Diceros bicornis minor: one gene and its partners. The protein of the gene in region 3 purifies or fractionates together with the protein of the main gene of each other region. This does not show direct contact. Links are inferred from orthologs where the notes say so. Each region holds a gene or a part of one and is shown on either strand. Other genes may lie near its edges.

Region 1 (7,859 bases), on a different chromosome or scaffold from region 3:
CATCTCCTCTGTGTCTTTGCTTGGAGGCTGGACGGGCATCTGGGCTCTGCGAGGAGTGGAGCCATCACTCACAGCCCGCAGCTCCGAGCAGGAAAGCGGCCACGTGGGGAGTCAAACCAAGCCTGACCACAGACAGGGACAGCTGGGGAAGTGACTGGACGCACCACACCCTGAGCACATGATGGGTGGGGAGGCTGCAAGCGGCCCTGTCTGCACATCTTCCAGAAGTGTGGGAGCCACAGAAACGCCCAGGCCCTTGGCCACTGTTAGTGATCCCAGTCCTGGGAATACTGGCCAAGGTGATGCTTCATAAGATGGAAAAGGCCAAGGGGGGCTCCCCACTGCCTTTGGGACTGGGGCTTTCAAAGCCCTGCAAAGACTAGACTTGGACTACTGGTCCAGCTCCTCACCCCACCATCTAATGGCCAGTTCTCACATACACCATGCACTTCCTCCCCCCTTCTCGTGCTCCACACCCTCCACTTCCCTTCCTGAGAACACTCGACAATCTTCCTGTCTTCTCACTGGGCTCTGGGTCAAATCCCATCTCCTTCTGCTTCCTGTGGGATCTCATGTCATTTCTTCCGTATCTTCAATTCTCCCTCTCGCCAGCTCCTTCCTATGACACTGTGGACACGCTCAGGGATTGTCCACCATTTAGAAAAAGCAGCAACACAAAACCTCACCCCATTCCACTGAACTGCTCCCCGCTGTCTGCCTCTCATCTACACTTTCAAGGCCTTGTGCACCCTTGCTAGTCCTACTCTTTCACCTCTAGCTTGTTCCAGTCCATTTCAGTACCATCGCTTGGCTGAAACTACTCCTGTAGAGTTAACCAAGGACCTCTTTGTACCTAGTGCCATTTTTCAGTGCTTATCTTAGTTGACTTTGCAGCAACACTAAACACTGCTAAGCAGTCTTTCTTTTATTCACTCATCTACTATTTTTTTTTTTTTTTGTGAGGAAGATCAGCCCTGAGCTAACATCCATGCTAATCCTCCTCTTTTTGCTGAGGAAGACCAGCCCTGAGCTAACATCTATTGCCAATCCTCCTCCTTTTTTTCCCCCAAAGCTCCAGTAGATAGTTGTATGTTGTAGTTACACATCCTTCTAGTTGCTGTATGTGGGACGTGGCCTCAGCATGGTCGGAGAAGCAGCGCGTCGGTGCGCACCCAGGATCCGAACCTGGGCCGCCAGTAGCAGAGCGCGCACACTTAACTGCTAAGCCACGGGGCCGGCCCTCACTCATCTACTATTTACTAAAAAATCTAATATATGTTAGGTACCATCAGACACTATGGTAGTACTGGGCACAATTGTGACAGACAGACAGACAGTCTCTGACCTCAAGGAGTTTACAAGTTCCTGGGAGAGAGAGGCAAAGAAACAGACCATTATTGTGGTGTGAGAAGAGCTGAGACTGGAGGCAGATGGGAGAGGCATCTAACAGAAACCTGGAGCTTGCCGCAGCAGTGAGGGCTTGCAGAGGAAGGTGTGCCAGACCGAGGAGCTGAGCTGGTTGAGGGAAGGAACATTCCAAGTACAGTGAGTAGCATATAATGAGAGAAGGAGCAGAGCTGGGGTCACGTGGATCTAAGCCTCAGAGAGAAATCTGGGCTCAGAAATCTGGTCATCAGCATCTAGCGAGTTTTTCAGGTCTTGAGGGAGGGTGAAATCAGCAAGGCAGAATGTGTGGAGCGAGAAGAGGCCCATGATGGAACTCCCAGGGTCACCAAACAGACAGATGATGCAACCTCTACAAAGGAGAAGGAAATTAGCAAGAGGTGGAGGAAGAGAAACTCAAAGTTATGGGGAGAGAGAATTTCAGAAGGATGGAGCAGTGACAGGGCCAAATGTTACCAAGAGATCACCTGAGAGGAAGACTCAACAGTCCTCTCAACAGATAATCTCCGCTTGCTGGGGGCTTCTATTTCACTGTGATGTTTTCCCAAACTCTCTGGGCCCTGCTTTGTAGTCCTTTAGATCACTGTAGACAACACTCCCTCCAGGAAGCTTTATCTGCTTACATCACCTCTCTATTTGTCCATTCTCATGCCTGTCTCCCCAGCCATTCTGTAAGCCTCACCAGGGCAGGGCTGCACATGCGCCGTATTCACCTAACACAGTACTGACTCACTTGGTAACTGGTGGATTTGCAAATACAAATTAAACAAAACAAACTTTTGCGGGGCAGGGATTGGCTTTTACTTCTTGGTAGCGTCAGGCCCCTGTAGTGGTAGCAAACCCAATATTCTGTTAACTTTCCCGGAGGCCAATTCGAGTTGTGTAAATAACTAGCCTAGAGGGCAGCTTAGTCACATTCCTCAATGATTTCACAAACGATCTGAACCTGACCTGAAAACCTGGGTTCACCAAACCAGCCTTATCTTTCCCGTTCTCAAGCCTCAGTTCTTGCAGTTCCCAAATTTCGCAATCCCTCTTAACCGTTAAATATATTTACTCTGTAAGACGCGACTTAAGTCCTACCTTTCGGGACCAGAAAGGGCGGCGGAGGGAGGGAGTCTCTCCAGCTGTCGCTGATTCTACTCAGTGAACTAAAGTAAATCACACACACACACACACACCTCGGGTGCAAAAAAAGGACAAGCACTGCTACTCTAAGTGTTGTAAAGATCGCAAAGGGTAAGAGATGGAAAAGCAAACTGTAAGGCGCCGTGCACATGCAATTTATCTTTTCAGAAAGTAACCATTTCGAGGGCAGGCCTCCATGTAAGGCAGATTCTTCCCCACCTTCGAAGAGGCCAACAGCCCCTCCGCGGGGCGCCGAAGCCTCCCGCCACTGGCTCTTCCGCAGCCAGCTGCGGCTCCCCAAGCATCCAGCCGGTTAAGTCTCCCCTTCGGCCCTGGAGATTGGGCCGGCTCCGAACCGACTGACCGAAGAGGCGAAACCAGGGACCAGGGGTGGCGATACGCACCGCGGAGAGTGGGTCCTCTGGCTTCACGTCCGCGACTCCCAAAGAGGACCCCGAAACTACGGGTATTGGCCGCCGGACTCCCGGAAGCGCTGCGCCGGCGCTCTTCTCCGGGAGGCGGGGCTTGTCTGCGCTTCCGTATGCATCATCAGGAGGCGCCCGTCGGAGAGCTCATAATTGGACAGCTCGGGGCAAGGCATGCTGGGATACTGCGGGCCGGTCTCCATAGCAACCGGCCGAAATGCACAGAGGTCTTCAGCCGGCGGGAAAGGCCCTTGTGGTTTCCTTGCTTTGCAGCCGTCGCCCCTTGGTCCGCGGCCATCTCCCACCCCCGGCGTGAAAGGGGCGAACCCGGGACCTCCCCGCCCGCCCGGTACAGGAGAGTAATGGAGCCAGCTGTAGATGTGAACACTCATTTATTTACACATTGTCACTGGCAGGCAAATAACTCAGCCCAGCCTATTCGAGGGTTAGAGATCGCGGACTACCACACACACAACCTGCAGACCCTTCCCTTCTCCAGAGTCCCCGAGGACGGAAGGCTGGGAGAACCAGGAAGTTTAGGCTACTGCCCAAAACCTAAGAACTAAATTCAACGCCTTCCTCTGATTTCTTTCCAAAAAGTCCATGTTGTTAAGTACTCAGACTTCTAGCTCTGTCCCATGCATACTTTTTGCTCTCCTACTACCCACCCACCCAAGACTGTTAATAATAATAATACTGTAATAATATTAATAATACTTTACATTTGTACGAAGCTTACAGAATGTTTTCACATATAGCATCTCATCTGAGCCTCCCAACAGTTCTGTGAGGTAGATATTCTCACCTCCCTTTTTACAGACGGGGTAACTGAGGCTCAGAGAGGGAACAGGATTTGCTCAAGGCCACACAGCTAGTTAGTGGTAAAGCTAGGATTTGATCCCAGCACCCCATATTCAAGTCCAGTGTTCTAACACCACAGCTACCACTGCAAAGTGGAGTGAAATTTCTCACCCCTGTCAGGCCTGAGGGGTGGCCTAAGGAGGGAGGAGGCTGACTTCTCAGACTAGGAGAGGGAAGGGCTCAGCAGTGACGTGGGGAGTCAGGGTACTTCGCCTTTAACTCCTGTTTGAACTGGCGGTAAAGGATCTTATTGTGCTGATTTTCGGCTTCCTTTTGGGGATGGAACTTCAAGGCTTCTTTGAAGCCCTTATGAACCAGGAAACCTTCGTTCAGCACCTCGAAATCAAATCCTGCCACGTGCAGCTCACAGGCCTGTGGGGGGAGAGACAGGTCAGCAAGTTTGTTGACATTCCTTCAGCTGAGGCTAACATCCCTAAAGCAGCACACCAGCATCCCCACTACTCTGGAGGCATCCTGGATCTTCCACACCATCCAACCACGTCCTGAACTATGATCCCTCCTGCCTCGTTGCCTCCTTTCCATTCAGGGCCACTCATAGCTCCCTGAACCCACCACCCTTCCTGCCCCATTTCCCCTCTGAGCACCTGGCTGATGCGATTGAAGCCGTACTGCCGAAAGCGCTCGTCGAAGGTGGGCACCTTGCCTCCAGCCACGTAGAATGGCTCCCAGGGGTCCTGCCAGGGCACTACGTAGGCAGGCCTCAGCAAGGTCTCTTCTGGCAGGTTGACCCAGCGGGAGTAGTTGGTGGGCGCCTGGCAGGGCGTGCACAGCCCGTAATAGAAGGGCCGCACCTCGCCCACCTGGTAGAGCTGCAGCAGCTCATTCTTGTTCGTGGGCATGCGGCGGGCTCGGCGGATCTCGAAGGCAGGCACCACCAGCGCTGTGCCCGCCCACTGCTTGCTCTGATCCAGCATTTCCCGCAGGCCTCTCCACAGCCCCTCGCTGGGCACCATGTCCACATCGATTACCAGGGCATAGTTGGCCCCCTCACGAGCCAGATTCCTCAGCAGGTTATTGGGGTAGGAGACATTGGTGCCCAACGCATAATTGATCCCGGGCTGGGCCACCCTGGCTAGCTTGTCAAAGACTTCCTGGCAGGACCGCAACAGGGCAAACTCCCCCGGCTCCCTGGGGTCGGGCACCGCGGCCTCATAGCGCGAGGGGCACACGAGGTGCATGGCGACCCTGGCGCGCATGTCGGGGCAGTGGCTGCTCAGCGCATAGGTCAGCACCGTGGCCAGCTGCGCCTCCTCTTTGGTGGCCGCGAACACCGACACGGATAGCGGGCCCTCCCAGCGCTCCAACAGGCCGGACAGGTGCAGCAGGTTGTCCACGCTGGCGTGCGTGGCCAGGATCACATCGTTGGGGTCCATGGTGGTCTTCAGTAGGCCCCTGTAGACGCGGTAGTCGCCGCTGGCGTCCAGGACGCCTCCGGAGGCCAGCGCGGTGCGGAGCTGCGCCTTGACCTGGTCCACGGACCGCGGGGATGGGGGGAAGAACTCGAAATACTGGTCTTGCTCCTCCTGCCCGTGTAGCCCGGACAGCAGCGACAGGTAGAGCAGCTGCAGCATCGCCACCAACATTAGCGCGGCCAGCAGCAGCTGGTAGAAGGCGCACCGAATGGCGTAGGACATCTGCATGGCTCTCGGGGCGCAGGGCGCGCAGCAGGGACCACCGGGCCGCAGGCTCCGCCGGCAGCCGCAAGCCCGGATTTACCGCAGCCTACCGAGCGCGGCCGAAGCGAGCCGAGGCGAGCCGAGCCCCGCGCGCAGCCCCGCCCGCCCGCGCCGGCCTCCAGGCGCGCCAGCTCGCCCCCTGCACGCGAGGAGGAGCCACTGCACTCGCCGCCCGCGCCGCGCGCTTTGCAAACTCTGAAACTCCCCGCGGCCGCGCCGCCGCGCCTGCCAGCTTCCCAGAGACACATAGCCCCTCTCTCCCGATCACTGCGCGACCCCCTGAACCAAGCGCGTCCTGAAACCCCGGCGAGCTCGCCCCCGGCTCAGGGAGGGGAAACCTTGCCAGAGCTCGGCTGCGGCTTGGAGAATGATGGCGCGGGTTCCCGGCTGCGGCGGGTGGAAGGGAACACAAAAAGCCGTTTTCTTTCTGCCGTCTCCCCCTTCTAGGTCCTACGAAGTCCGCTCTGAGGAATGGATGCAGGGGGTCCCGGAAGGTGCGGAGGAGATGAGAGATAAGGGAATGTGGAAAGGGGTGCTGGACGTGGGACGAGGTGGCCGAGTGGTTAAGGCGATGGACTGCTAATCCATTGTGCTTTGCACGCGTGGGTTCGAATCCCATCCTCGTCGGTCGTGTTTTACGCGGGAGACCATTCTTAATTTTCCACATGCCGCTTCTCTGGAGCAGCAGGTTAAAGAGCACGGAATTGAGGATGGGACGCAGTTCGGCGCAGCCCGGGCCTCTCTCCCCTTTGTTCGTCGTACATCTCTGGCCACTTCGTACTTCAGGTGTCTGAACCTTCTGGGCGAAGGTCGGAAGTGTGCTTTTCTTTCTCCAGAAGAGGGCCAAGGGTTGGGTGGCACCTAGAAGACCACAACCAAAATTCTGGCCAATGCCTAATTGGGGGCCAATATATTAACTGCAGGAATTAGAAACGCCCCCTGAAGGTGCTGCCCTCCCTATCTGAAGTAGTGGAACTTGGGGGGAGGGGTGTTTGATCGTTTAAATTATTTCTCTGTTCAGCCCACTGATTCCCCTCCCCGCAGCCCTTCTCCCAGGGCGGAGACCTTGTATCCACGCACCTCCCTCCCCAACACACGCACTTAAGCAGAAGGCCTTGAATATTCTCACACCAGCCAGCGTACACAGAAGGCGCTTAATAAGTGTGGAATAAACGATCTAAGGACTCTTTAGAAGAGCAGAGGCTGTGGGGAAAGGCAGGTTCTTTGACTGCTAAATCAATTACTATATGTAATACATAATTTTTTGAGCCCTGTGAATCTTGGAAAGGTGCTTTGGGACAGACTGAGGAGGGCTCGCATGCCAGGGTAAGGGGTTTGACCGCTATTCCACAGGCAGTAGGGAGCCAGGGTTGTTGAGTTGAGAAGTGACCAGGAGACCTATATTCTGCAGCCCTGAATAATAATACCTGCTCTGCAGCAGAGGCTGTGTTAGGCACCGGGCGTGGGGCCTTGCAGGGGACAAGGGTACTGTCCTTGAAGGTTTTCACTGGTGACTTGTGCCAGGAGAGAGGAGAAAGGTATGTGTGGATCCCATCATAAGGATCAGGGAGGCTCAGAAGCAGATTTGGTGCCACAGGGGTTTTCTTTGACCTGCTTAGTGTTTAGAAATAACAATTTGAATCACGTCAGTTGTTAACTTTGGGGAATCAGGAGATTTCACATATAATTCACATTTCCAACTTCTGTTTTAAATTCTGGAAGATCTGGCAATGCCAGGCTTGCATTCCCACAGGGTGACAATTGGCCAGAGCATAAAAGTGTTTCTCCCTTTGCAAACAGTCCTCCCTTTGCCAAAGTCTCAACCCTGCGCCTTCCTGTCGGGGCTTTAAACATTTGTGTTTCATCTGCAGTGCTCACACAGTACCCATTTACTACCTCCATTGAAGATTTCCCTGGGCGTCTGCCCACATTGCCCCCCCTGGCCACTGCAATGCAAGCCACACAGCAGGCATCAAGACGTGTTTGTTGAATGAGTAAATAAGAAGCTTCTGAAGTGTCCCCAGGGGCCCTAGTCTAAGGGGAGACTGAAAAGTGGTGACTGGGCCTTGGGGGGGTGTTAAGATCAAGGAAAGCCACATGAGAGGCCCAGAGGAAGGCCAAAAGCCTGCTCTTGTGGGCAGAGAGGCCTGGCTGGGGAGAGGGACTGGCAGTGATGGAGTGGGACCTGAAAGAATCAAAGACCAGAATCAAAAACCATTAACAAGGAGTCTGCTTCCCACATACTTTTCCCTATGCATCTCTTCCATCTGGCTGTTCTGAATTGTGTCCTTTTATAATAAACCTGTCATCCAGTAAGTAAAAGGTTTCTCTCAGTACTGTGAGC
Region 2 (7,223 bases), on a different chromosome or scaffold from region 3:
CAACCGTCCTCAGCAGAGGAGAAACCTGCAAAATGCTTCCTGCATAGATTTTTACCTTCTCTGCTAAAACCCCTGGGGGTGGGGGGAGGATTTTGCCCCCAGCAGACACTTGGCAATGTCTGGGGACATTTTTGGCTGTCCCCACTGGGTGAGGGCCTAGTGTGTGGACTCAGGAATGCTGCTAAACATCCCTACGGCAACGGACAGCCCGCACCACCCTCACTCCCACCCCGCCCCACTGCCGCAAAACATTATGCCTGAAATGGCAACAGGGCCGAGGTGGAGAAAAAAAAAATGGTTACCCTAGAAAAGTAAAGCTCAAATAGGCGTTCTTTTTCTCAGGGGGTCTGGTGAGATCAAGCAAGAAGGGACTACAGAGGTTAGCTGTCACCCAAGAGAGAAGGACCAAAGCTACAAACCTGAGCTGAGCCAAACGCCCTGTTGGTAATTATTTATTTATTTATTTTCCCCCAAAGCCCCAGTAGATAGTTGTATGTCATAGTTGCACATCCTTCCAGTTGCTGTATGCGGGACGCGGCCTCAGCATGGCCGGAGAAGCGGTGCATTGGTGCGCGCCCAGGATCCGAACCCGGGCCGCCAGCAGCGGAGCGCGCGCACCTAACCGCTAAGCCACGGGGCGGGCAGCACAGCAAAAATAAAAACGGTCATTCATACACGCATCTCAACCGCTTTATTTCTGTGCGTGGCATGGAGGGTGACCAGAGGGACCACATGCCCAAGCACAAGCGTGGCCTGCCTAGCGCCCTCACAAGGACAGCCTCAAGCCAAGCCCTTGGCGACTGTGGATACCGTTATTTTGACTGGACATAAAACTGTGTGAGGAGAATGCCTCCCTGACACACACAAACACATCCACTCTACATTTAAACCCTCCAAAAGGATCAATTTGGGATGCAGAGGCTGCCTGTGGCGGTGTTTTGATCTATTGATCTATTTGTGCTAGAAGCGATTAGCACGCCTAGAAAAACATCAGCTCTTCACCAGCTTTCCGGCAAGGAGACACATGAGGCCCACTGCCTGACCTGAGTACCAGCATGGCCACGTGAGGGCCGAGGTCACTCAACCACTGCCGCTGCATACCTGGCTCGACAGAGGCGGCTGTACGTTTAACTTGCCGTTCTTCGGAATGTCAATTCTGTACCCGAGGGGAAGGAAGGCGTTGAATCCGACAATGAGGTCAGGGTGTTCCTGGAAGAGCTGTGAGACGCGGCGGATGACTCCAGGAGTATCGATGCTGGAACAAAGAACAGCAGTGGGCAAAAGTGTCTTGCGGAGCAAATTACAAGCGAAATCTACTCCCGACTCCTTTGACGGTGCCACGTAACCAGCTTCTGGACTGGGCACGATGCACCCTAAAATGTGACTGGTAGGATTCTGCGGGCAGTGATCTAACATGAGAGCAGCCAGGCCTGGGCTCCCTGTGCCCTCCTGGCGAGAACCACAGAATATCTACACCACACAGCTTCCCCAAACACTCCAAGCACATGAGCTTGGTTCTGAAAATGTCAGGAGTGCAACTGCCAGTCCTGGACTCCAAAAAGTGGCAGGAGGCCAAAGCCTTCTAAGTGATGTGATAAATTCCTTCATTTCGTACGAATTAGGGATCAACAATGCCACAGGAGTTGATCCCAACAACTGAATGCAACACATAAATACCAAACAGCCTGCAAGCGTGGAGTCTGGTAAGAATGCAAGGGCAGAGAGGGGTCGCCTTCATGGCTGCAGTCAAGACCCAAGGCCTTAGCATCCCACTTGCGGAAGGAACCCTAGCCACCCTGCCACATTTCCTCAAAGAGGGCAGCACCATGGTGAGGACGTGACAGTCGAGAACCTGAGAGCCAGAGGACCCAAGTTCCAGTGCCATCTCTGCCCCTAAGGAGGGTCAGGGCAAGCCCCTGGCCCACTCTAAGCCTCAGTGAGCCTTCTGTCAAACAAGGGGGTGATCATGAGGTCCCCCGTCTATCTCTAAACCTACCGATTCTTCACCTACAAAACACAGCTAATGTACTTTTGATCCTTTCTACGTGCCAGGTCTCTTACCGGGCGTTTTATGCACATTATTTCCAGCAGGCCTGATACCAGGGTGAGGCAAGGGAGGCACTCATCTTGGGGATAAGATTTAAGGGGGAGAGGGAGCCAAAACATTCAATAATCAAGATGAATGACATTTTAATACAGTGCGTGGAAAAAAATCAAAATTAATTTAAAAAATTCTTGATGAACAAAATTCATTTAAAAATCAGCATTTTGAGTTACAGATGGGATCCGACCCTGTGCTTGCTGGACCCGCCTCCGTCGCCTCTCCCCGACCCCTGCCCTTCTTCCAGGAAGCCCCACAGCAGCTCCACGAGGGAGGGAGGGGCCTCTCCAATCTCCTTTTCTAGAAGGAACGGAGGCCCCGAGAGGTTCGACGACCTGCGCAAGGTCACCGGGCTGGGGGCAGCGGGGCTGGGGGCTCCCAGCCGGCTCGGTCCGACTGCGGCCTAGGGCGGCCCCCCAGGCAGGGAGGGGCCCGCCGGTACCTCTGGCTTTTGAACTCCTTCATGATCTCCAGGAAGCCGTTGTAAGTGGCAGGGTCGCTGCCGAAGCGGATCTTCACCTGGTCCAGGTAGGTGAGGGCGTCCTCAACCTGCGGGGAGAGGGAGGGTCCCAGTGGGTCCCGGTCGGCGGAGGAAGGAACGAGGGTCCCTGGGGGGGAGGGGGTCAGGCCAGGCCTCCGAAGGCCCGAGGTGAGGGGTCCGGGGGTCCGGGGTCCCGGGCTGCCCAGAGGGGAGGCCGAGGCGGGGCCGGGCGGGGCCCGGGTGAGGAGCGCCGGCCTGGGGGGGCCGGACAACGGGATCCCCCCCGGGAGGGCAGGGGCGCCACTCACGTGCACCGGCAGCTTCTCGTGGCCCGCGGAGCCCGAGCGACCCCAGCGGGCGCCGCTCAGCCCCCGGCCCGCGGGGCCACCGCCGCCGCCACCAGTATGCGCCATGTTGGAAGTCGGAGCCGCGGCTCGCTCCGCGCCCCCCCCCCAGGGCCGGCTGCGCATGCGCAGGCTCTGCCCCGGAGGCGGGGCTTGATGACTTTAAGGAGGGGCGGGGCTCCTGAGGACTTCGCTGTGGGATCTTGCCCCTAAAACCGAAATACTGATTAATGCGGTATGCGGTTTATACAGCACGGTTGGGCAAAGCAAGACGTGCTGCCTGCATTTGTCCGGCCCCGCAAGCAAGCTTAGAATGGTTTTTACTTTTTTTTTAAGTTGGAAAAAATCCAGAAGACATTATTTCGTGACACTTGGAAGTTCTATAACATTCAAATTTCTGTGTCTGTATAATATAGTTTTATTGGCACAAGGCACGCCCACTCGTTTACATGCTATCATCTCTGGCTGCTTTTGCGCTACAACAGCAGGGTGAATAGCTGTGACAAACCCTAAGATCTGCAGAGCCTGATATATTTACTAAAAAACGTTTGTGGACATTTTTATGCAGTGCGTGGAAAAACCCTGTGCTTTATGGGGTTGATGTGACAATGGGGTATGAGCACACAGCACCCTAACATAGGGTCCTGCGCGGTGAAGTTTTGCTGAATGGCTCTTGACTTAGTCTGCCTCCTCCTGTCTTCACTCCCCTCGTCCTGACCCCGTCGCTTCCCCACTAGACCAGTTCAGCAGCCTCTTCACCGGTTTTCCCAGCCCCAGTGCTGTCAAGAACTGAGATCGTTCCACAACTGCTTCCAAACCTCCAAGGTCTTCCTTTTTCTTGTGAGAGAAATCTAAGCACCTACACGCAGCACTGAAGGCCATAAGAACCTGACCCTTGTGAATTTTTTCTTGCAGAATTTCCCACCCAAGCAAGCTGCCCTCCCTATCTGTGCAGAACCTCCTGCCAATGCCTGCCCAGCCCGGCTGCTCCCTGGCCCCATGCATCAGCACATACCATTTCCTTTGCCCTCTTCTATCTCTTCATCACCCAGAAAATACCTAAACATCCTTCAAAACACAACCCAAATGTCCCCACCTTCAGGAAGCTACCCCAGCCCCCCTTTGCCCTCCCACAGTTCCTTGTACATCACCTGCATTTTGTGCTTCATCTCTAACACAAATTCCTGATACAGAGCCACATCAGTGAGCATTTATTAAAGGAATGAACATTCAATCCATGACAAAATGGCATCTCTTTTTGTATGTGAAGAGGTGCAGGAAAGCTGAGTGTACACTGGCAATGAGTGCATCATCTGCCAGGCGCTGTGCTGGGCTGTCAGGAATAGAATGGTAACCAAAACTGACAAGGCTTTTGCCCTCATAGAGTTTTCAGTGTTTCAAGAAGGAGAGGAATCAAATAATCACACACACAAATGTAAAGCTTCAACTGTAACAGACACTTCAAAGAGAAAGTACAAGTGTAACAGTTACTATGTTCCAGTTACTATGGCTGTATAACAAACCACCCCAGATTTAGAGCCTTAGAATGACAACAACGTTCATTTTGCACTCCAATCTGCAATTTGGGCGGGTTTGGCAAGAATAGTTCATCACTGGCCCCTTGGTGTCAGCTGGGTGGCTGGGACTGGAGCCTTCTGAAGGTTTATTCACTCCATCTTTCTGTCAGTTGCTGCTGGCTGTAGGCTGAGACCCATGCTGGTGCTGTTGCCGGGAACACCTACATGTGGCCTCCTCACGCAGCCCCAGTGTCCTCAAAACATGGCAGCTGGGTTCCAAGAACAGTCATCTGCGAGGAGGGAGTGAGCCAGGTGGAAGCCACGTTGCCTTTTCTGATCCAGCCTCGGAAGTCACGCAGAATCATCTCCATTGCAATCTTTGCATAATGACCATTACAAAGTCCCTCCCAAATTCAAGAGGAGGGCAAACAGACTCTAGAACCTGGGGCGTGGCCAGGTTCTGGAATAGTATGGGAGACAAGAAATATTGCCATGACCATTTTTGGAAAATAGCACCTGCCACCCGGGGGACTTGAGCCAGTCTAGCAGGGGATGAGGAAGGCTTCCCAGAGGAGGTGGCATTCTAAGTGAGATCTGAAGGATGCATATGCATTCGCCATGAGAAAAGTCAGAGAGAACAGCTGTGCAGAGGCCCTCAGGTGGGAGGGAGTTTGGCACATGTGAATAACTTAAAAAAAAAAAGACCAGTGTTCTCAGACTGCAGAGGAATGGGAAGGGGAGAGAGAGGGTGCAGGATAAGCATGGAGGGGCCAGCGAGGGCAGTCCACTCATCCTTCTGGGACGAGTGAAGGCTTTTGGTCTTGGCATTTAGCGCTGGTAGAAACCGCATGGGTTTAATGCAAGGAGCTGCGTGAGCAGCTTTGAATGTAGAAGCGAATGCTCCAGCTGCTCTGCAGGGAAGTGATGGGAGGGGCGCCAGGGACGGTGCAGGAAGGCTGTTTCATCCTTTAGGCAAAGGATGCTGGTGGCTTAGACCAGGAAGGGAGCAGTGGAGGTGGAGAGGAGGGGATGGAAGAGAGAGATATTTAGAAGGTAAAGCAGAAATGATGTGGTGCTGGGTGAATGTGCGGGGTGAGGGGAAGGAAGCATCCATGATACTGGCTCCCAGCCCAGGGAGGAATCCTCCCTAGTTTCAGCGCATTCCCATATGAACAGCAGCTAAGGTGGCCCAAACCCTTTGAGGCCACCAGATGTCTGGACAGTCCTTTTCACACTAACTCTGCCTGGCAACCTATCAGTCATTGTCCTGGAGGACCAAAGGCCTGTGTGGGCATCTGACATGCCAACAGGGTCCTCACAACAGTGCCCCCCTTCCCCAAGGAGTGGATTCTGTTCAAATTTCAAGGACCACTGTCAGTTTTTCATACTTTCCATAGATCTCATATGGTCAGAGGAAGCCCTCAGTCATTCGGAGAACAGGAAACCACAAGCCAGTTCCCTGTGGGCACGTGTGTATGCACGTGTGTGTGTGAGTGTGTGTTCAACATGTGGACAATGGTACACATACATTTTTCATTCTTATTTTTATAAAGCATAAAAAGTTGCTAAGTTGAATTTTTTCCTTTACTATTCTCATCTACACAGATTAAATTGAACACCTTAGAGTTGACAGTTTGGATAGACCAAACTGGAACACAAATTTCCTTACCATTTCACAGATTTAATGGCATTAAGATAAGACTCGCAAGTAGGTCTTTCGTTGGACGGTATTTTAGCAAGGTTGAGAGGACAAGATCAAAAGATCCTATTTTGAACTAATCTAAGTCTTCTCAGGTGGTAAGCTTTATGACAAAAATCTCTAAAGCCCAGAATCACGACTTGTGGCAGAATTCTAAGATGGGCCCAGAGAGTCCCACCCCTGGTGTGCATGCCCTATCTGATCCCCCACTCTGGACTGAGATTAGGGCATGCCACATGGCAAAGGTGAAGGGATTTTGCAGGTGTATTTAAGGTCTCAAATGAGTTGATTTTGAGTTCATCAGAAGGGAGATTATTCTGGGTGGGCCTGACCTAATCAGGGGAACCCTTTAAAAGACAGTCTGAGGTCAGAGCCTCGCAGCAGCAGACAGGTGTGACCCTCCTGGCCTGGAAGGAGGAGGCAGCTGTGTGGGGAGATGCCTATGGAGAGAGGAAGCCTCTGGGAACTGAGGCTCACAGTCCTACAGCTGCACGGAGCTCACTTCTGCCAACCACCTGAGTGATCGTGGAAGGGGTTTCTAAGCCTCTCCATGAGATTCCAGCCCGGATGACAGCTTGTGAGACCCTGCACAGAGAACCCAGCCGTACTGTGGCTGGACTCCTGACCCACGGGAACTGTGGGATGATAAATGGCTGTTATTTTCAACTGTGGAGTTTGTGGTCATCTGTTATGCAGTAATAGGCAACTAACACTCCTATGAAGTAGCCTTGTCACAAATGTTTCCCCTCTGATTATGATGTGTCCATGTGGGTTCATCAAGGGTAACTAATGTAGCACTTGTAGTGGGGGAGGCTCTGCATGCATGAGGCAGGGCCATATGGGAAATCTCTGTACCTTCCGCTCAGTTTTGCTGTGAACCTAAAACTGCTCTAAAAAAGTCTATTTAAAAAAATCTTTACCCTGAATCTAATCAAACCTTAAGATCAGGGTCAGCACACTTTTCTGTAAAGTGCCAAATGGTAAATATTTTTGGCTTTGGGGCCATACGTTCTCTGTTCCTGTAGCATGAAAACAGCCATAGGCAATAGGTACGTGAATGGGCATGGCTGTGTTTCAATAA
Region 3 (7,005 bases):
CAACTAGATTCTTCCACAATAGATTTTTTATTAACTTTGATCTTTCTAACTAAAATATATTACTATATACACTACGTTAACAATTTCATTAGCATTTAATGACCCTTTTTGCATGAACAGGCTCATTTAAAGTTTAAATAGTTTAAAACTCATATATACCTCAACAAGTTGCGCTTTATTAAGTCCTGGTCTGGTTGGCAGTTTGAAGTGTCTTTTGTATCTCCTAAGTGTATTTACTTGTAATTGGTATAAATCGACCTAGAAAAAATTAACATACGTGAATTAGTTCACAGAATCTGTTAAAAACTTATCTTTAATATGTATAATAACATTTCAATTTCAGCACAATAAAAACTTGATTCCATTATTAAAAAAGCTTTTTATACAATCAAAACTAAAAATGTATTAAACACTTTAATCTTTTGAGGATAAATAGTAAAAACTAGGGGCAAAAAAAAGATGTAAGACAACGCAGCTATGAGGTGTCAATTGAAAATATAACAAGTAAAATTGTGTAACTGCATGTTAACTGGCTATATTTAATTTTGCTTTCATTTTCAGATTTTTCAAATGCTTTAAGTATTTAAAAAATTTGTTAATATCTTTTTATAAAAGTTTCAGAATGGACTACTTAGGATTTACATTTAATATCCAAAAACTTGCATCTACCTCTGGAGTATCAATATCTTGAACAGGTGAATCTCCTCCATCATCATCACTCCCTTTTCTCTTTCTTCTGTTTCGAACACTTTGAATTAAGTTTTTATGATAATCACAAATGTAAAGATGCCTTGCCTGAAACAGAAAATTTCACAGACTACTTATGATTACAATAAAATGTTTCTATATATTTAGTAAAATACATAGGCCACAGTGAATTATTAAAAATAAAAACAACAGTCAAAACAAGCCATTAAGACAATGGCATGTTTCTTTCTATTCTTAAGTCCTGCACCCAGCTAAAACATACTAAGTCTTACAACACTGTTAAGAGGATTGGGGGGTAGAGTGGTGAGGGGTGACAGTAAAGGAGGGGAGGCAGGTAGAGGAGAATGAGAAATTTCAACCCTCTGGATTTAATCATCAAATTACAGTGAAGGTGAACTAGATTAGTTAGGTCATCCTGTTTTATAACAAGGGGAAAGATGATGTTGCGCACCATTTCGCTATTTGATAGTATTTTTTTCTACTTAAAGATCATATTTTAGTAGCATAATGTATGCTTCCTCATCTTTCTTAATACTCCGATTACAATCCAGATACAGAACTATCCATTTTTACAAATGTTATTGATTTCATATTCTAACTATATTTAAATTTGAATTATAAACTTTTCTGAGTATTAAATGTTACTTATCTGTATTACGTTTTTCCAATCAAAGCAATGTGAAATCATTCAAATTTACCTGAAAAGTTTCTCATGAACACGACCGAAGAACTAACTGTTTTAACAGGCAGAAAGTATCACAAATAAACTCTTCAAAAACTTTCATTACATATAGTCTTGAGAGCTGTATAGTAACATCTGAAACACGGAGCTTCACATTAACAGTTACTCTTTAAAAACCAATTAAAGACCGAGCTAATAGGCTTTTAAATTAACTTCTAAGCTATGTGCAAGTTAAAAATATGCCGGGCGTGTGCTAGGTTCTGACATCTTGTTATTCCTTTACCGCCAGGCAGAGCTCCGAAAACTGGCAATGGTTATTTCTAAAAACCTCTTTAGAGGATCAAAAGAACAGACGTGCAAAGGACGGAAAAGAATCCTGATGGCTGCCGGCGGACGGCAAACCCGCAGAGGCTACGTGCTCCGCACGTTCGGAGCGGCTGCCCCAGCCCCAGATGCTGACACCGCCGACACAGTTCACAGTCCTGGCTCCCTGCGAGGCGCCGGGTGAGCTCGGGTTCGTTCTCACTCCGTGCTCGGGGGAACGAGGAGCGGGATCTTGCTTGACTGCGGGGTCAGGTCCTTGCGGGACTCCACTTTCCCTAGACGAGGGGAGCTACTCCCTGGTGCCAAACGCCAGCTTGGGCAGCAAAACAAAGAAGGCGCCTCCATTCCAGAAGGCGCTGCCGGGCTGCAAGAAAACTACTCCGGGCGGTCCCCTTTGTTTCGTTTCCCGATCTCCGCGGACGAGGAAGGGGAAGACAGAGAGCGGGAGAGGCAGGGAGCGGGGGGGATGGGGGGAGGAGCGGAACCGCAGCGTGCAAGTGTGCGTGTGTCTGTTGGGGGTGGCGGTCGGAGTTGCAGCGACTTTGTTTGCTTCCTACCAGAGACCCCACAACGTGTTCGCACTGCAACCAGGTCCGGGGGGACCCCTGAAACCCCCGCCCAACAACCCCCGTCTGCACCGCTCCCGGAGCCCCAAGGGGGCGGGCAGGGCAGTCCCGTAGTCACTTACGCTCTTATCCAGCTCGATCTTCACCTTCTTCTGGGAGATGCTCTTCTGGATCCTCTTGCTGAAGCTGGCGTTGCCCGCCGCCCGGCCGCACCGCTCGCCGTCCTCCCGCAGACAGCACAGTTGCCCGGGGCCCGGCCCGGCCGCTCCCGGGGGCCCAGCCGCCGAGACCGCCCCGGCGCCGGGGACCTCAGCCCCGGCCCCTGCCCCGGCCCCGTTCCCCGCCGAGGCGGCGGCGGCGGCGGCGGCGGCAGCGACCACGGCGGCCACGGCGGCGGCCGCGTCCCCGCCGCGGCTCATCTCCTCCGGCGTGAAGCCGTTCATGTCTCTGCGCTCAGGGGCGCCGGCGCTGAAAGAAATCCTCGCCCGCCTCGCCGCTCCCTCTCTCTCCAGAGACGCCGGGGTCTCGGCGGGGTCCCTCAGGCACCTGCCCGGCGGCGGCAATTCACTCTGCACCTCAAGTCCTCCGACAGCACAGCACAACACCAAGTGTCCCCGGCCTGCTGGTGTCTGCCGATGCCGGGTCAGTGGACAGGGCTTGGGGTCGGGAACTAGCGTCGGGCGGCGCCTGGAGCCGGGACCCCACTCACTGTCACATGGAGACTCTTCAGCAGTTGGACCACAGCGCCTCCGCCTCCCTCCGGTTGCTCGACCTGCGCAAGCGCGAAGCGCCCTCTCCCGCCCTCTCTGCAGCAGGGCACCACGGGAATTGTAGTTCTCTGCAGGGGAGTCAACCTGAGCTCTGCTTTAACGCCGCGCGTCGCGGGTTGGAGGAACTACTTATCCTAGCATGCATCGCGCGACGGCGGGCCGGGTTTTTTTTTTCCCCCTTTTTCTTTTTTAAGCTCGGGGAAAATAGGGGCGTGTGGTTGTGGTTGCGTTGTTTTCTCTCTTCTTATCTCTCCCGGGGAGCTGTGTTGTGTTTAGCTCCTGGGATTCTGCAGAGGTGGCATTCTAGACAAAGAGGTCACTCAACTCCTGAGGCGAAGCACAAAATGCGGGGGGAGGAGAATAAGCGTGTGGGAAAAAGTTTCGGGGCCGTTTTTCTATCTGTGGAAAAAGAGTTTTTGGTGCGACCATGTTTTTGTGGGAAACTCAAACCAAAGAGAACTCAGGCGACCTGGCGCTCTTCGGGTCCTGGAGGTCCGGCAGCTAGCTCCACATCTGGCTGGCAGCTCCATTCATTGACGCACCAAATTGCTCAGAGCGCCTGCTTACGGGAAAACGCCCATCCCGACCTCTCGCCCTCCAGATGCCTCCGCTAAAGGCCGTTTCTAAATCCTTGCACGTTCCTGCAAGGAACGCGTTTTGTTCGCGGGCGCAAAGTCTGCTGCTTCCTGAGGTGGAGCTAGTGACTAGTTGACTGTAACAGGGCTTCTCTTCGCCTCCACCCCCAATCTTTTCAGTTTCTCCTCGAATGAACCTGGAGAAAGGCGGAGTCTAATATCATTTAAAAGGGGACGCGGAACCCCACAAATACCGAGTTAGCCTGAGTGCTTCCTAGAAACTCCCCAGCGTTCGCTCTGTGAAGCGAGAAGAGAGAAATAAGCCACATTTCCTCGGTGGTCCGCACGCGCGTGTGCGCTTGTGTTGCATGCGTATGTGTATGCATGTATGTGTGTGCGCGTATGTGTGCATGTACGTGTATGTGTGCGCGTTTGCGTGTCTGTGCGTGCGTGCATGTGGACGTGTGCTTGTGGAGGGCGGGGTAGAAGGATGGGAGCGGCTAATATGAATGCTGCGGTTGTGCTAGTTACGCTGCGTCGTTATTTATCGGTAGATATATGCTGTTAACAATCCCATTGTTTGAACAAAAATACAAAGCAGTATTATTTTGCAAGTTCCTGTAGACTTACAGAGTAAATTTAGTGATAGACGATTTTTTTTTTTTAAACGTATAATGTCATCTGCCCTGAAATTTAAAGCCACCCGTTCCATCTGTGTGCTTCGGTTCTAGGCTATGGCAAAGGAAAAAAAAAAAAGAAAGAAAGAAAATATTACGTAAATTGAGTAAGCAAAAGAAAAGCGCTGAATGGTAAGTACTTTGTGTTATCTTTTTACGCTGCTCTGTCCAATAGGGTGTCCTCTAGCCATATGTGGCTATTGAGCGCTTGCAATGTGGTTGTTGTAACTGAAGAACTGAATTGTTAATTTAATTTTAATTAACTTAAATTTTAAAAACTGATTTCAGTTATTGGAAAACTTTTAAGTATATTTGGAACAACTTGGATATATGAATCTGTTTTTTCAACTTAAATTTTATGTAATCTAAATTTAAATCTAAATCCAAATTGAGATGTGCTGTAAGTATAAATTACCAAGGGGATTTCAGACTTAGTACCAGAAATTTTTTAAAAAAAGAATATTGAATAGCTTATTAATAATTTTTATATTGATTACATGTTGAAATGATAATATTTTGGATATACTGGGTTAAATGAAATATAACATTAAAATAAATTTTACCTGTTTCTATTTTTTTAAATATGGCTACTATGACATTTAATATTACACTTGTGGCTCACATATTTGTCTTAGATAATGCTGGTTTAAAGTATTAAAACAGAATAATACTATCGTTTATTAATATATTTTCTTAAATGGTAAAAATGAGAGCATGTGGAAGAGATGGATATGCTCCAAGGGTGGTGGTCATCTCTAAGGAGAGAGGCCAAGGGATAGTATCTGGGAATCAAAGGTGGTCTCTATGGTATTTGTAAGTTTTTTTTTATTAAAAAAACATCTGAAACAAATATGATATTGGGTTGTTGGATTTTCATTTTTTCTTTCTACTTTTATGTATTTTTTAAATAATTCATAATTATTGTTTGGTTCTTGCCCTTAAAAGTTTATAATCTATCTTCTGCAAAATGTGATCAAATTAGTTCATGTATATACTGTATGTATGGTTTAGTTACGTATCAGTTTCATATGAATTTTACTAAAGTGATGAATTGTAGTTATATGCTTTCTTTACATACAATACAGTCTTTTCAAAAGGTCCAATTAGGGCCGCCCTGTGGTGTAGGGGTTAAGTGTGCGTGCTCTGCTGCTAGCGGCCCGGGGTCAGATTCCATGGCCCGGGGTCAGATTCCATGTGCGCACTGACGCACCCCTTGTCAGGACACGCTGTGGCGGGTCCCAGAGGAAGATGGGCACGGATGTTAGCCCAGGGCCAGTCTTCCTCAGCAACAAGAGGAGGATTGACACAGATGTTAGCTCAGAGCTGATCTTCCGCACACACACACAAAAATAAAAGGTCCAATTAAACTCTCCTTTATTGCATACTAGGATCTTTTCTAGGCCTTGGGGATACAAAATTAATTGGGAGAGGGTCCTAGCCATTTTGGAGTTCTCTGTTTAGTAGGGGAGATGGGTAGCTTAACAAGCACATGATACATGCTGCTGTAGACTGAATGTTTGTGTCTCCCCAAAATTCATATGTTGAAACCTGATCCTCAAGTGATGATATTTGGAGGTAGGATCTTTGGGAGGTGAATAGGCCCTGAGGGCTGGAGCTCTCATGAATAGGATTTGAGACTCAGAAAAGAGGCTCCAGAGAGCAACCTCATCCCTTCCACCATGTGAGGACACAGTGAGAAGACTGGCAGTCTATGAACCAGAAAGCAGACTCTCACCAGCCACAAATCTGTCAGCACCTTGATCTTGGACTTCCCAGCCTCCAGAACTGTGAGAAATAAATTTTTTTTGTTTATAAGCCACCCAGTCTATGGTATTTTTTTTTATAGCAGCCCAAACAAAGACACATTCCTCAATAAAATTAGAGAGACTTAGCACACAGGAGGAAATGATTCATTTCTGGCAAGTAAAAAGCATTCCTGGAGTAGATGACATGTAAATTCTCCATGCCGGATTTAAAGTATTTCTTCTGTGAATCTATTGTCCATACAAAGAAATTTTCATAACAACCGTGGTTCATTGTTTATTTCTACAACTCTTCATATCCAGGGCAGGTAAGAATTCCTTGCTTTAAGAATAATTTACAATCAAGGTTGGAACCACGTTTTGGGAAGCTTCAAGCTCATAAAATTTGAGTCTTTAAGAAAAAGTATATAAAATTAAGAATGCAAAATTAGGTACAGGCCTGTCCAAGTGAAGGACTATGAACTTTACATCCATTAGCTTCATTATAAATGTACTTCAGAGTAGATAATATGGAAATATAGATTTATGAAACCTAAGTTATAGGAGGGTTGTTGATATCATCAAAATATTCTTTGCTTTCTGAAAAGATTCAAAATATGATTCTTTAAAAAGTATTTTTCCCTGCCTTTCTTCTCTCTAAGGCTTTTAACATGATTGAATTTTTCTGGTTTTATTTTTAAATAAAAAATTAAATGTAAACAATTAATTGTAAATTTTAACTTACAAAAATATCCAAATTGGCCCATAATCCTAATATGAACATGATTTTAAGTTCAAATAATAAAAGGTTCAATATGAAAAACAGAAGCCTGTTTCCCCTCATCTCCTCAAATCCCTGTCCCTAAAAGCAAGCAATGTTAACAATTTCTTGTTTCCTTCTAGAAAAAAATTATATGCATATACCAGTATGTATGTATATATATGTTTTTTTTCAGCTAAG

Evidence for each region. The genes of interacting proteins can lie anywhere in the genome.
Region 1: the proteins of SAP30 (region 3) and BRMS1 purify together in Homo sapiens (affinity purification with mass spectrometry; 3 studies listed by BioGRID and IntAct, with this or other methods). This does not show direct contact. The link is inferred for Diceros bicornis minor from reciprocal best matches to the Homo sapiens genes SAP30 and BRMS1.
Region 2: the proteins of SAP30 (region 3) and SIN3B purify together in Homo sapiens (affinity purification with mass spectrometry; 4 studies listed by BioGRID and IntAct, with this or other methods). This does not show direct contact. The link is inferred for Diceros bicornis minor from reciprocal best matches to the Homo sapiens genes SAP30 and SIN3B.

The regions. Positions count from the first base shown.
Region 1 is NC_080770.1:7,002,208-7,010,066, reverse strand, and holds the start of BRMS1 (breast cancer metastasis-suppressor 1), read right to left. Parts: upstream 3,006-7,859; 5' UTR 2,937-3,005; intron 2,918-2,936; exon of another isoform or gene 2,897-2,917; intron 47-2,896; 5' UTR 40-46; coding exon 1-39. Other genes in the region: B4GAT1 (beta-1,4-glucuronyltransferase 1), read right to left, coding at 3,999-4,190, 4,424-5,479. UniProt on the Homo sapiens protein: Transcriptional repressor. Down-regulates transcription activation by NF-kappa-B by promoting the deacetylation of RELA at 'Lys-310'. Promotes HDAC1 binding to promoter regions.
Region 2 is NC_080759.1:4,917,487-4,924,709, reverse strand, and holds the start of SIN3B (paired amphipathic helix protein Sin3b), read right to left. Parts: upstream 3,006-7,223; 5' UTR 2,996-3,005; coding exon 2,891-2,995; intron 2,651-2,890; coding exon 2,544-2,650; exon of another isoform or gene 2,393-2,543; intron 1,256-2,392; coding exon 1,102-1,255; intron 1-1,101.
Region 3 is NC_080750.1:59,892,685-59,899,689, reverse strand, and holds the start of SAP30 (histone deacetylase complex subunit SAP30), read right to left. Parts: upstream 3,019-7,005; 5' UTR 2,724-3,018; coding exon 2,403-2,723; intron 796-2,402; coding exon 670-795; intron 259-669; coding exon 160-258; intron 1-159. UniProt on the Homo sapiens protein: Involved in the functional recruitment of the Sin3-histone deacetylase complex (HDAC) to a specific subset of N-CoR corepressor complexes. Capable of transcription repression by N-CoR.